Regions from separate parts of the Mus musculus genome. Here region 2 is reported to be linked to region 1. The links are microRNA targets in miRTarBase. Many come from high-throughput screens and were not tested one by one. Region 1 holds a microRNA gene; the other region holds the end of a gene's coding sequence.

Evidence for each region. Region 1 holds the annotated microRNA mmu-miR-871-3p (UGACUGGCACCAUUCUGGAUAAU, at 1,564-1,586, opposite strand). A microRNA usually pairs through its seed, bases 2 to 8, with sites in the 3' UTR of a target mRNA and lowers its output. Matches are read on the target gene's strand: a 7mer-m8 pairs with bases 2 to 8, a 7mer-A1 pairs with bases 2 to 7 and ends in A, and an 8mer does both.
Region 2: the mRNA of Asprv1 is a reported target of mmu-miR-871-3p. Seed matches in the 3' UTR shown: 7mer-m8 at 4,556-4,562.

Annotation. Positions count from the first base shown.
Region 1 is chrX:66,808,875-66,814,258 of GRCm38, forward strand. Mir871 (microRNA 871) reads right to left here and starts at 1,630; the gene lies at 1,554-1,630. Mir470 (microRNA 470) reads right to left here and starts at 5,151; the gene lies at 5,077-5,151.
Region 2 is chr6:86,628,456-86,633,839 of GRCm38, reverse strand. It overlaps Asprv1 (aspartic peptidase, retroviral-like 1), which reads right to left. Exons shown (of 1, transcript NM_026414.2): 1 at 4,130-5,384. The coding sequence ends at 4,647. Among named protein-coding and RNA genes, the nearest start is that of Asprv1, 3.0 kb to the right of the region's middle.

The DNA.
Region 1 (5,384 bases):
TGCTTCAAGACCACTTACACTATCCCTTCCAGAACCCTGATCTTATGAGAATCATACAAGCTTGACTCTACCCAGAGAGTACCTGGCTACATTCATTTAATCCTACCAGCACCAATTTGCGACTGTCCAGGGCATATTTAATGAGTAGGTCATTTCCTAGACTTCTCCATGACACCCAGTAATAATGCACATTGGATTCTTCTTGTAATCTATTGAAAGCATCAGGAGAATTGCCCACTTATTAGTTACCTTATCTTTAAATTATATTAGATTATATCAATTGCCATTTCCTTAGATGAATGACAGTAAAAAGATATGAACTTTTATTTGCTATTTCTTCTTTATATACAAACTATTTTAATATTCTTTATCATTTTGCTTGAAAATGTACAAACATTATTATAGGCATATAATTGAAAATATACTGAGGATGAATAATTTAGTCGGGCCTGACTAACTCATTTTATATAGCCTATGAATTACTATTATGAGGCTAAGAATGGATAATTAAAACATTTTGAAAATAAGCAAATGATCTACAGGGTCTAAAGCTAATTATAAATATCCAGGAAGACACAACATGGGTGATTTCATCTACACCTACATTATCATCCAAAAGCCATTAAAAAGAGGTAAAGATAAGCCTTCCTCTACCCAGAGAGCTACTGTATACTTGCAGTTCATTTGAATAGCCCCACTGTGGGAAAAGAAATACACAAAAGACAATGTGGATCTGGTACACCAGGAATTTCTACCTTTCTGTTCATCTTTCATCACAGCACTAAAAAAACATAAACCTATACCAACTTATGACTTATTCATAATTTCAGAGATAACAAGATATTCTCTCTCACCATTGACTTCTATTTAACGGATCCCTTAAGTTCCATTCTATGTGAATGACTGTGTCAACTTGGAATGAAGATGTGCGGTTTTCTTTATTACCATTTTAATTATACTTCCTCATTTTCGAATCTACTCTTTTTAATTTTTTAATCTAACTTACTGGTAATAACATTAAAAATTATTCATTGATGTACCAAATTCACTCTGAAAATTCCTAATAGGCAGGTAGTGAACAAGAAAAACTTGTATCAACATATTTTCTAATGGACCAAAACATGTATCACAATCATGACTGATCTGCTGTGATAAAAATTAGACTTCCTCATACTTACTGTGTTTAGAGAAGAATCACACACCTCCACCACCACACTTCATTCAAGGAAACAAATATATATTCCTTTACATTATATTTTTCTCTCTGGATGCTCTGGACTCTTGTTTGTTTGTCTAATTGTCAAAATTAAGTATATAAAATTGTATTCATTTCATGTTTTTACCTGTAGTATAAAGGTACTTAGTATCCTCCAATTTTATCTTCTATGAACTGTAAGTGCTCCTGAGTTGTGATTTCTAGAAAAGAAAATATTTTCTATAATTATAGATGCTACAGGAATCAAATGACAAGCTGAAATTATGGAAGGCATGTAACATTCTTCGAAGTATATACTACCATGAACATCCAGGGTCAAATCACTTGAAGAATATAGTGAGCATTACATTATCCAGAATGGTGCCAGTCATATGTATTTCACATGACTGGCACTAATCTGAATAGAGCACTGCACACAACTCACACAACATAGATTTGTCAATGCCCCAGCCTTAATCTTACTAGAGCTATTTATGAGCCACAGACAACAAACCCAGTTTCACCTGGAATTTTCAGAAAAAAAGATTCTCATGGATCCTATCTTCCTGTCAAGAGTTGAGTCATGAAAATAAGCCTTTTTTAGTTTTCCACTAATTGTATTAGAATGTCTTTAACAAATTATCAGAACTTTTAACCAAATTACTTCCTCTGAAAAAAACTTTAAATATAATACTCAATAGTCCAAATAAGTAAATGAGGTGATTTGTGATATTTCCTGTGAGCAGAAAAGCCATCATAAGTATATTTTATCTCTCTGTCTGCCTATTTTTTCCTTTTTCTATTGATTTAATATAGCACATTATTTTAGGACAGTATTATCTCATTGTAGTACTTTATATGCCCCAATACAGGGGAATGCCAGGGCCAAGAACCAGGAGTGGATGGGTAGGGGAGCAGGGAGGAGGGAGGGTATAGGGAACTTTCGGGATAGCATTTGAAATGTATATAAAGAAAATATCTAATAAAAAATAAAACAAACAAACAAAAAACAAAAAAAAACCCCAAATGTCTATTTTTATTTATTCACTTTCCATTCCTAACACTGCCACCCCAATCCTTCCTCCCTTTCTTCCCTGATGGCGGGGGGGGGGGGTAGGTGGTTGGGTAAAATCCCACCCTAGTATACCAAGTTTCTGCCAGGCTAGACACACTCTCTTTGATGAAGGACAGAAGGCAACCGATTAGGGGAATGGATTTCGTAGACAGGCAACAGCATTAGCAATAGTTCCAGCTGTTAGGACCCACATGAAGATCAAGCTGCCCATCTGCTTCATATGTACGGAGAGGCCTAGGTTCAGCCTGTGTATGCTCCTTGGTTGGTAGCTCAGTCTCTAAGTGCCCCAAGGGTCCAGGTTAGTGAATTCTCTTGGTCTTCCTGTGGAGTTCCTATCCTCCTTCAGGTCCCAAGATCTTTACTTCTGTTCTTCCATTAAGAGCCCACAAGTTCCATCTACTGTTTGGCTGTGACTGTCTGAGTCAACTGCTGGGTAGAGCCTCTCAGAAGACAGCCATGCTAGACTTCTGTCTGCAAGATAACAGAGTATCATGAAGAGTGTCAGGGATTGGTACTTAACCATGGGATAGGTCTCTAGTTGGCCAGTTATTGGTTGGCCATTTCCTTAGGCTCTGCTCCATCCCTGTCCCTGCATTTCTTGCAGACAGGATAACATTTGAAATGAAAGTTTTGTGTGTAGATTGGTGTCCCTGCCTGGCTACAGCAGATGGCCTCTTCAGGTTCCATCTTCAGGTTCCATATTCCCAATGCTGTGAGTCACAGCTAAGATCACCCCCACTGACTCTTAGGAACCTGCCCTATCCTAGTTCTCTGGTGCATTTTTTTTAGTATTTTATTGAATATATTTGCATTAATATGACAAGATAAATCGGCCTGAAATTCTTTTTCTTAGTTAGCAGTATTCCTTCTGCTTCTATTTTGTGCAATAGTCTGAGCAGTACTGGCATTAGCTCTTTCTTTAAAAGCCTGGTAGAATTCTGCACTAAAACCACCTGGGCTTTTTTCTTTTGATAACTGTTTCCCTTTCCTTAAGTGTTATAGGGATGTTTCAATAGTTTACTTGATCTTGATTGAACTTTGGAAATAGGTATCTTTCTAAAATGTCTTACAATCTGTTAAAGATTTTCCAAATTTATGTAGAACAGGCTTTTAAAGTAAGAGCTAATGATTCTTTGAATTTATTCAATTTTATTTGTTAATGTCTCCCTTTTTAATTCTGATTTTGTTTATTTGGATACTGAAAGTAGGGAAACCTCACAATGGGCCGAACAGGGCCATAGCTACTTTCCATTTTTTATGGAGGTCCCTTCATATGCTAATAGCCTGGCACCTCCCAACAGTGGGATAGTTGGCTACTCCAGAGCTTGTATCAATACCCCATTGGTCCAAAAGCTGTATAAAAACACTTGCAAATGCACAATACATTAGATCTGTACTCAGTGATGATCTCTAGAGTTGATTTCCCCAACTCCACTTGCCAAAACTGCTCCTGAATTCTGGTTCATCCCACAAAATAGGTTAGAACAGATAATACACTAAATGTACAAAATAAAGAAAAAACTGCAACCACAAAAAGGCCAGGTATAATCTGAAGAATAATTTATCAATATTATACCTGCCTTTTCAACAGAAACAATAACAGCCACAGGGCCTGAGAAGATGTCTTACAGCTTCTAAGAGACCACAGATGCCAGCCCAACAAAATTTTTGAATCACTACGAATGGAGAAAGCAAACTATTTGATGATAAAATTAAATTAAAACAGTATTTATAATAAATAAATTAATTTTAAAAATTACTCTAATGAAAAGAATATATTGTCTTTTCAGCACCTCATGGAACCTTTTGAAAATTGGCCATATCCTTAGACAAAAACCAAGTTTCAAAAGATACAACAAAATTGAGATTACTGTATTATTTCAGATCACCATGGATTAAATCTGGACTTTAATGACGGAAACAACAAAAAGCATACAAACCCAGGAAAACTGAACAACTTCCTACTAAATGACTCCTCAGACAAGGAAAAAAAATAAAGACCCAAAGTTATGGGAACACAATGAGAGCAGTGCTAAGAACTATTTGGGAAAAAATAGGCGAGACCTTATTGGAGAAGTTATGTCACTGGGGGTGGACTTTGAGGTTTTAATAAAAGCCATGCAATTCTCAATTAGCTCTGTGGCTGAAGATCAGGATGTAAATGCTCAGCAACTACTCTATTGCCATTCCACTTGTTTACCATCCTGTTCCCTGCCATAACAGTCTTGAGTGCTCACCTCTTCAAACTTTTCACCACCCATAAGAATGTGTTTTTTGTTGGTTTGCTTTGTTCTGTTCTGTTTTGGTTTTTTATTAAGTTGGATCCTTTGGCATGGAGCATTGTCTCAGCGATAGAAAAGTAACTAAGCCACCTTCTATTCAACAGGTTCCACTTTTATGTATTTTATACCATCAAGACAAATATAACCACCTTCAAACAACACATACAATAGAGAACTGGTATAGTTTATCTGCTCCATCTGATTTCATCATTCTTCAAACAAAGCTTTATTTTTGAATGTTAACTTATTTATTTAAAAATACCATGGAAATATCCTTTATGTTATATTTCTTCCTGTTGGTTCTATGAAAAACAACCAATTTTCTTTGTTTTACATTTTTCTTCTATAGAAAGGAACTTAATATTCTTTTTGCTCTGGTTCCGTAATATGTTAGTTTCCGTAACTATTCATATTGAAACCTATATTTGAAGATATTCAAATCTACCTAACATTAGAAAGTGTCCTCCAAGGTCCTTATGGATAATCCACTATCTTGATTCAGGAGCCTCATCAAAAGAATGTGATGAGCTTTACTCTTCTCAGAAAGGTACTGGTTGTATTTAGTTTAACTCACCAGTGCCAGTCCAAGAAGAGCACTGCACACCACAGCTTCAATATAGAGACATTATTTCAGCCATTTCCATCATGATGTTCAGGTTTTATCATAGACCAAATAGAATATGAAAAATAACTATGGACATAATTTATTCTAAAATTACCTTAGGATAACCAACACATTTTTTACAGTAAATTTCATTCAAGGTACAATGCATATTGTGGTTCATAACCACCTATTACCCCTGTTCCCAGAAATGTAATTCCCTCTTCTGAA
Region 2 (5,384 bases), not on the chromosome of region 1:
CCTCAGGTGGTCTTTATAGGGTACTGACTCATTACAGGGAAAAGTAGTCACCCAAGGGTGGAGAAACTTAGCTGACAGTACCCTGAGCAAGCAAACAAGCCAGTATCCCAGGCTCTAGGAGCGCCTACATCCCTGCATGATGCCTAAGGCACACCATCTCTCCTGGGTGTTCCCACCAAATTCATAATGATGAGAAAACAGCAGACTTAGCCAAGGTGAAGGCCATGCTTCGAAATAGCCAGCCAGGGTATTAGACATTTCAAAGTCATGAAAATGGGGGTAGCCTAAGCAAGTGACAAGTTATCCTCAAGGCAAAAATATTGTTATTACCTCAAAGAGGATGGAGAGAGAGTTTATTCTGGAGCTAAATATGAGTGGGGCACAAATTCCATGTTTCAGTGTGGAAGCAGTTTCATGAAGATTTCATAGTAACAGAGCAAAGAAAATCATAGATCAAGACCCTTCACATACACTGGTGGAAACATGAAGTGGGCGCTGCTGGCAGAGCAGAGAGATCTCAGCTACAAGCCTCGATGCTGTCTGGTGAAACTCTTAGCCCTTTGATGGGCAGGAAACTAGGGTTAAGGTAAGCTTTTTTATCTGTTAGTCCCAGAGGATTTAGGTCTGACAGAGGGAGAGATGAAATGGCTATTTAGTAGGCAAAACATAGCCCAAGATAAATCTTAATTAGGCTCTGCTCCTACAACATTCCGACCTCCCCGAGTCACTGAAGTCTTAAGCAGTCATCTGGCCTTTGAAGACGGAGCCTCTCTTCAGGAATTGCCATTCACAAAAATGAAAGGTGACCTAAAGGCTAAGGTTGTGGAACGCCTAGCTAGATGCAAATGCTTTCAGTTTGATCCTCAGAACAGCATAAATCATACATTGGGTGTATGGCGGCGAGGAGGACCGGAAGTTCACGATCTTCTTTCTGGGCAGCCAGTCTAGCCAATGGACTCTGGGTTCAGTGAGAGACTGTGTCAAAAAAATAATGTGGAATAGATGAGATGGCTGAGCAGGTAAAGGTGCTGCCACCAAGTCTGACAACCGAAGTTCACTTCCCAGATCCCACGTGGCGGAAGTAGAGAATTAGCTCTATAATACCTTCACATAAAAATAAAATGTAGTAGTAAAAGTTTTACAATAACGTGGAGAGAGACAACCAGCATCGATCTCTGGCCACCACGTGCATGTGCATCACACACACAAACACACACATATATGATTTACTGATTTTTGGTAACTGTTATGCTTATATGGAGAAAGTCTTTTTTAAATAAGCAGCTAACAGTATTTCTGAGCTGCAGTCTTCCAATGGCTCCTCTGTGTGGGGGAGACTAATAAAGTTAATTCTAAAGTTAATAATAAAGTTAACACGAGTAACGATGTGAACTTGTTTTCTTGCAACTTTTCTGTAACCCTGAGATTATTCCAAAAGTTCTACAAAACATTAAACATATACCGAATAAAGCACTCGTCACGATCTAGCCTACTTGTGTGTGTGTGTGTGTGTGGGGGTGTGACTGGCAGGTGGAGCTGTGATCAGAGGAATCTTCAACAGGTAAGGCAATGGCTCCTTAATGAAGGGTGGCCCAGGCTGGGGCACTGAAGTTTTGTGCTCTAGCCTAGGTCTGGGTGGAGCCAGAGAGTCTATGTTAGTCAAGATGCCAGGCAGGCCTGATGTGCGTATCTGCTGTGACTTACACACACACAAGACAAAGCACCAGTGTAATTTGGTCCAGGCAGCTGCACACTGAAAGAGCAGGTGAGTTCTTGCCAGTCTCCCCGTGCGAGTCTGGTGTACCACCAAGATTCAAGCTTCTCCTCACCCCAGCACCTCCCAATGTCTCCAGATCTCAGCCTTCCTCTTCATTCCACACTCCATCCTCCACTGGGAAGCCAGCCGTGTCCAGGATTGGACAACCTGTAAATGAATTGTAAATGCATCTCCCAGGATTGTGGCCAAACCCACTGGCTTTTCTTCTTGCTTCTGCTCTGGGCACCTGGGTCCCGATCCCTGGAGAGCAGCCCTGGAATTTGGTCCATGAAAGCAAGTTGGTCTTCTTGTAGTCTGAGGACCTCCCTGTCTCAGGCAGCCTAGATTGAACTCCGGGTTTTGTAGCAAGGCTGGCCCCGAACCACTGATTCTCCTGGTTCTGATTTCTGTGTGCTGTGGTTAGAGGTGGGTATCGCCACACTCAGCTTACGGAATACTGAGGATTGGACCCAGGGCCTCCTTCTGCATGCTAGGCAAGGTTCTACAGCAGAGCCACGGCCACAGCCACAGCCACAGCCACAGCCACAGCCTCCGCCATCAACCACATTTAATCAGTCTCACGCCTATGAAACATCTGCTTTAGTCCAGGTAGGCCTCCTGCACCACGTGATTCCTTTCTTGATGGTGGCTGTTCTGAAGGCCCTTCCTGGGTGTGGGTGGGCACGGGGAGTTCAGGGGCATGAGGGGGAGGTCTCCTCATTGAGAGTTGCCAGCCCAGGCCCTTCTTACTCAAGGCCAAGGTATAGTATCATCACAAGTTGCAGGGACGCCCACAAGAATTTACCCAGCACAGAGCTCAGCCCCTTTCTGGGTAAGAGAAGGGCAGGGACACTTTGAGTTAATGTCCCAGAATTCTGGCCCAGCTACCCAATTCCTAGGTCCCCTTCTCACCTCCACCCACTCTTCACCCACCTTCCTTTGGCCTAGAAAGAAGCAAGTAGGATCTGAAGGACCTAGAGAAAACTAGGTCATGGGAGGTGCCACTGGGTTTGTGCCCTAGAGACAAAGGCTAGGCCCAGGACAACACCAACGTTCCTTAGATCTCCAGAGAGATGAGGGGGCGGGGCCTAGGTCCTCAATGCGACCACCCTCTGTGGTCCAGGCTTCCTGTCCACACCTGTACACCCATGCTCTGGGGCTAATTCCAGTTCATTCTGGGCTTGGCTGCCCAGAGGCAGGCTTTAGTGAACCCTAGGAATTAGATCCTGAGTCAGCCTTGTACCAGGGAAGAGAGGCCAAGGAGAATGGCATTGCTGTTGTGATTGGCTCAGAAGACATCTAGCTCTCAGGAAGAGGCTTCCTGCCTCCTGCTCAGAGGGCCACAGGTGGTGGAGCCAGCAGCCAGCCACTCCTTTGAGCCTGGAAAAAAGGGGCCTGGCAGGAAAACAGCAGCCAGGTGTGTGCTACAGGCCTGTTAACCCAGGTGCTCAGGAAACTCAGGCAAGATGACAAGTCTAATGCCCATTGGAGCTACAGAATGACCTCAAGGCCAGCCTAGGCCATTTAACGAACCACTACATTGGAATATAATAGGTGTTTTAGAAGGTAGTGGGAGGTATAGCTCAGTAGTGAAACAGTTGCCTAGCATCGTGTGAGGCCCTAGGTTCAATTCCCAATATCACCAAGGAAAACAGAGGATCCCCAAAACTCTGCCCCCAAGTCCCAGCAGGGGACTGGCTACAGACCCTTTGCACAACTGAACTTCTGGCCTTGTGCCAGCTTCCTGGGCTCAGCTTTCAAGGCGTGGGCTCCACAATTCAGGACACATCTGCTCCTCTCTGGAGCACCCAATCCACTCCCCAACGCCTGGTGAGTTTTCAGAGTCTCAGAGGAGGCTGGGAGTTGGCAGAAAACCCAAGCTGAACAAGAGATGAAACCCACCCCAGGTTTAGGAATGCCCTCACCTCCCTCCCATCCCCTCCCCCAAATGAGCTACCCCATAGCCAAGCTGCCCCCAGCTGCCAGAGTCCCAGACCTTCCCAGGGTCCCGTCACACGCCCATGCCTGTCTCCTGGCCCTATTTCTACCTCTAAGCCAGGCTCCCTGGGCACCAGTAAGAACCTATTTGTTTGGCAGAAATGTCTTGATCGCCAAGCCAAAGACCTCACAAGATAGCCTTGGTCACATTTGAGCATAAGGGACAATTCGAATGCTAATATTGTAGATTGAAACAGCAGAATCGGAAGGCGTTAGAAGGATGAGAGGGTTAGAAGTTCAGATATCTGCAGTCCACCTTAGAAAACCCAAGACCCCACTGAACTGCTTGCTTTCTTTTGCCTCCCCAGGCCAAGCATTCGAGGATTGTGTTTTCCTCTCCCTCCCAACTCTGTCACAACTATCGAGCACATGACATTTTTTTTCCATGAACAGATCTTTATTGGTGTTTTGAAATAATTGAATTATTGATACAGGCTCCATGAGATTCAAGGCAAGTGACAGGACAGGAGGGAGCATCCTTGTGCAGGTGGGAGGACTCAGGGAGGACTCCCAGAGCAGCTGCCAGTCTCCTCCAAGCATCTGGATTGTGAGGGTCTTAGCCAAGACCAGGCTCAGCTCAGCAGGCTTGGGGACGTGAAAGTGACTGAGCCATACTTCAGGGGATCTAAAAGGGTCCTCTCTCAAGATTGACATTCCTGGCTTCCTCAGAAGCTCCTGCCAGCCTTGGAAGTCTTTGCAGACCTTGGGGACACTGCTTTAGGCCACCAAGCTGGCCTCCCTCCCCAAACAAAGGCAAAGCAAGGCCCCTGTAGAAGGAGGGAAACTGAGAACCGGTGTAAAGACTGGCTAGGCCGGATGATACCCCCCAGGACATCTGCTCCCCCCAACACAAAGTCCCCCTACCAATGCTGGGAACAAGAAATGGGGTTTCTTAGTGGGAGCCCTCCGGTGCAGAAGACCCCTCCTCTTCCTCAATAAGCTCCAGGTCAAACTCATCCTCCAAGGAGCTCCCGACAGGGAGCAGGCGGAACTTCTTCCCCTTCAGGGTGCAGGTGCGGTGTTCGAAGTCCAGCACGGCATTGTGGTCCTGCAAGACGTCTGTGCCAATAATAGCCTCTTCTGCGCTGGCGTTGGCCACCAGAAACTCGGCCTTCAGCTTTGTCTTGCCCAGGCTAATTTCTGTGTCCCACACACCCAAGATCTTCATCTCTGCCCCATTGGCCACTTTGACCACATTGTTAAAAGGACGAAGAGTATCCAGGTCACCATCAGTGACCTCCTCCCATAAGGCGGGGTGAACCACAGACACCTGAGCCCCAGAGTCCACCAGGAATCTCACAGGCACATGGCCAACCTTCCCTTTAAGGTAGTAGCCCTTACCCATGCTGTTGGCAAACAAAATCTCTTCGGGCTCACTGAAGGCCTCCCCAGGGGCCCCAAAGGCCCTCAGGAGGGCTTGCTTCACAAAACTGAAATCGCCCTGGGCCTGGGAACTGAGTCCATTGTAGACATCCAGGGCATCTCCCTTGAGCGACTCTTTCAGGAACCTCAGTTTGGTGGCATGATCCCAATGGTTGAGGTCATCAATGACTTCAAAGCGGTGCAGCCAAAGGCTGGGAGCTAAGTTAGTACCAGTGAAAGGTTCTGGGACGAAGGCATGCTCCCGGCG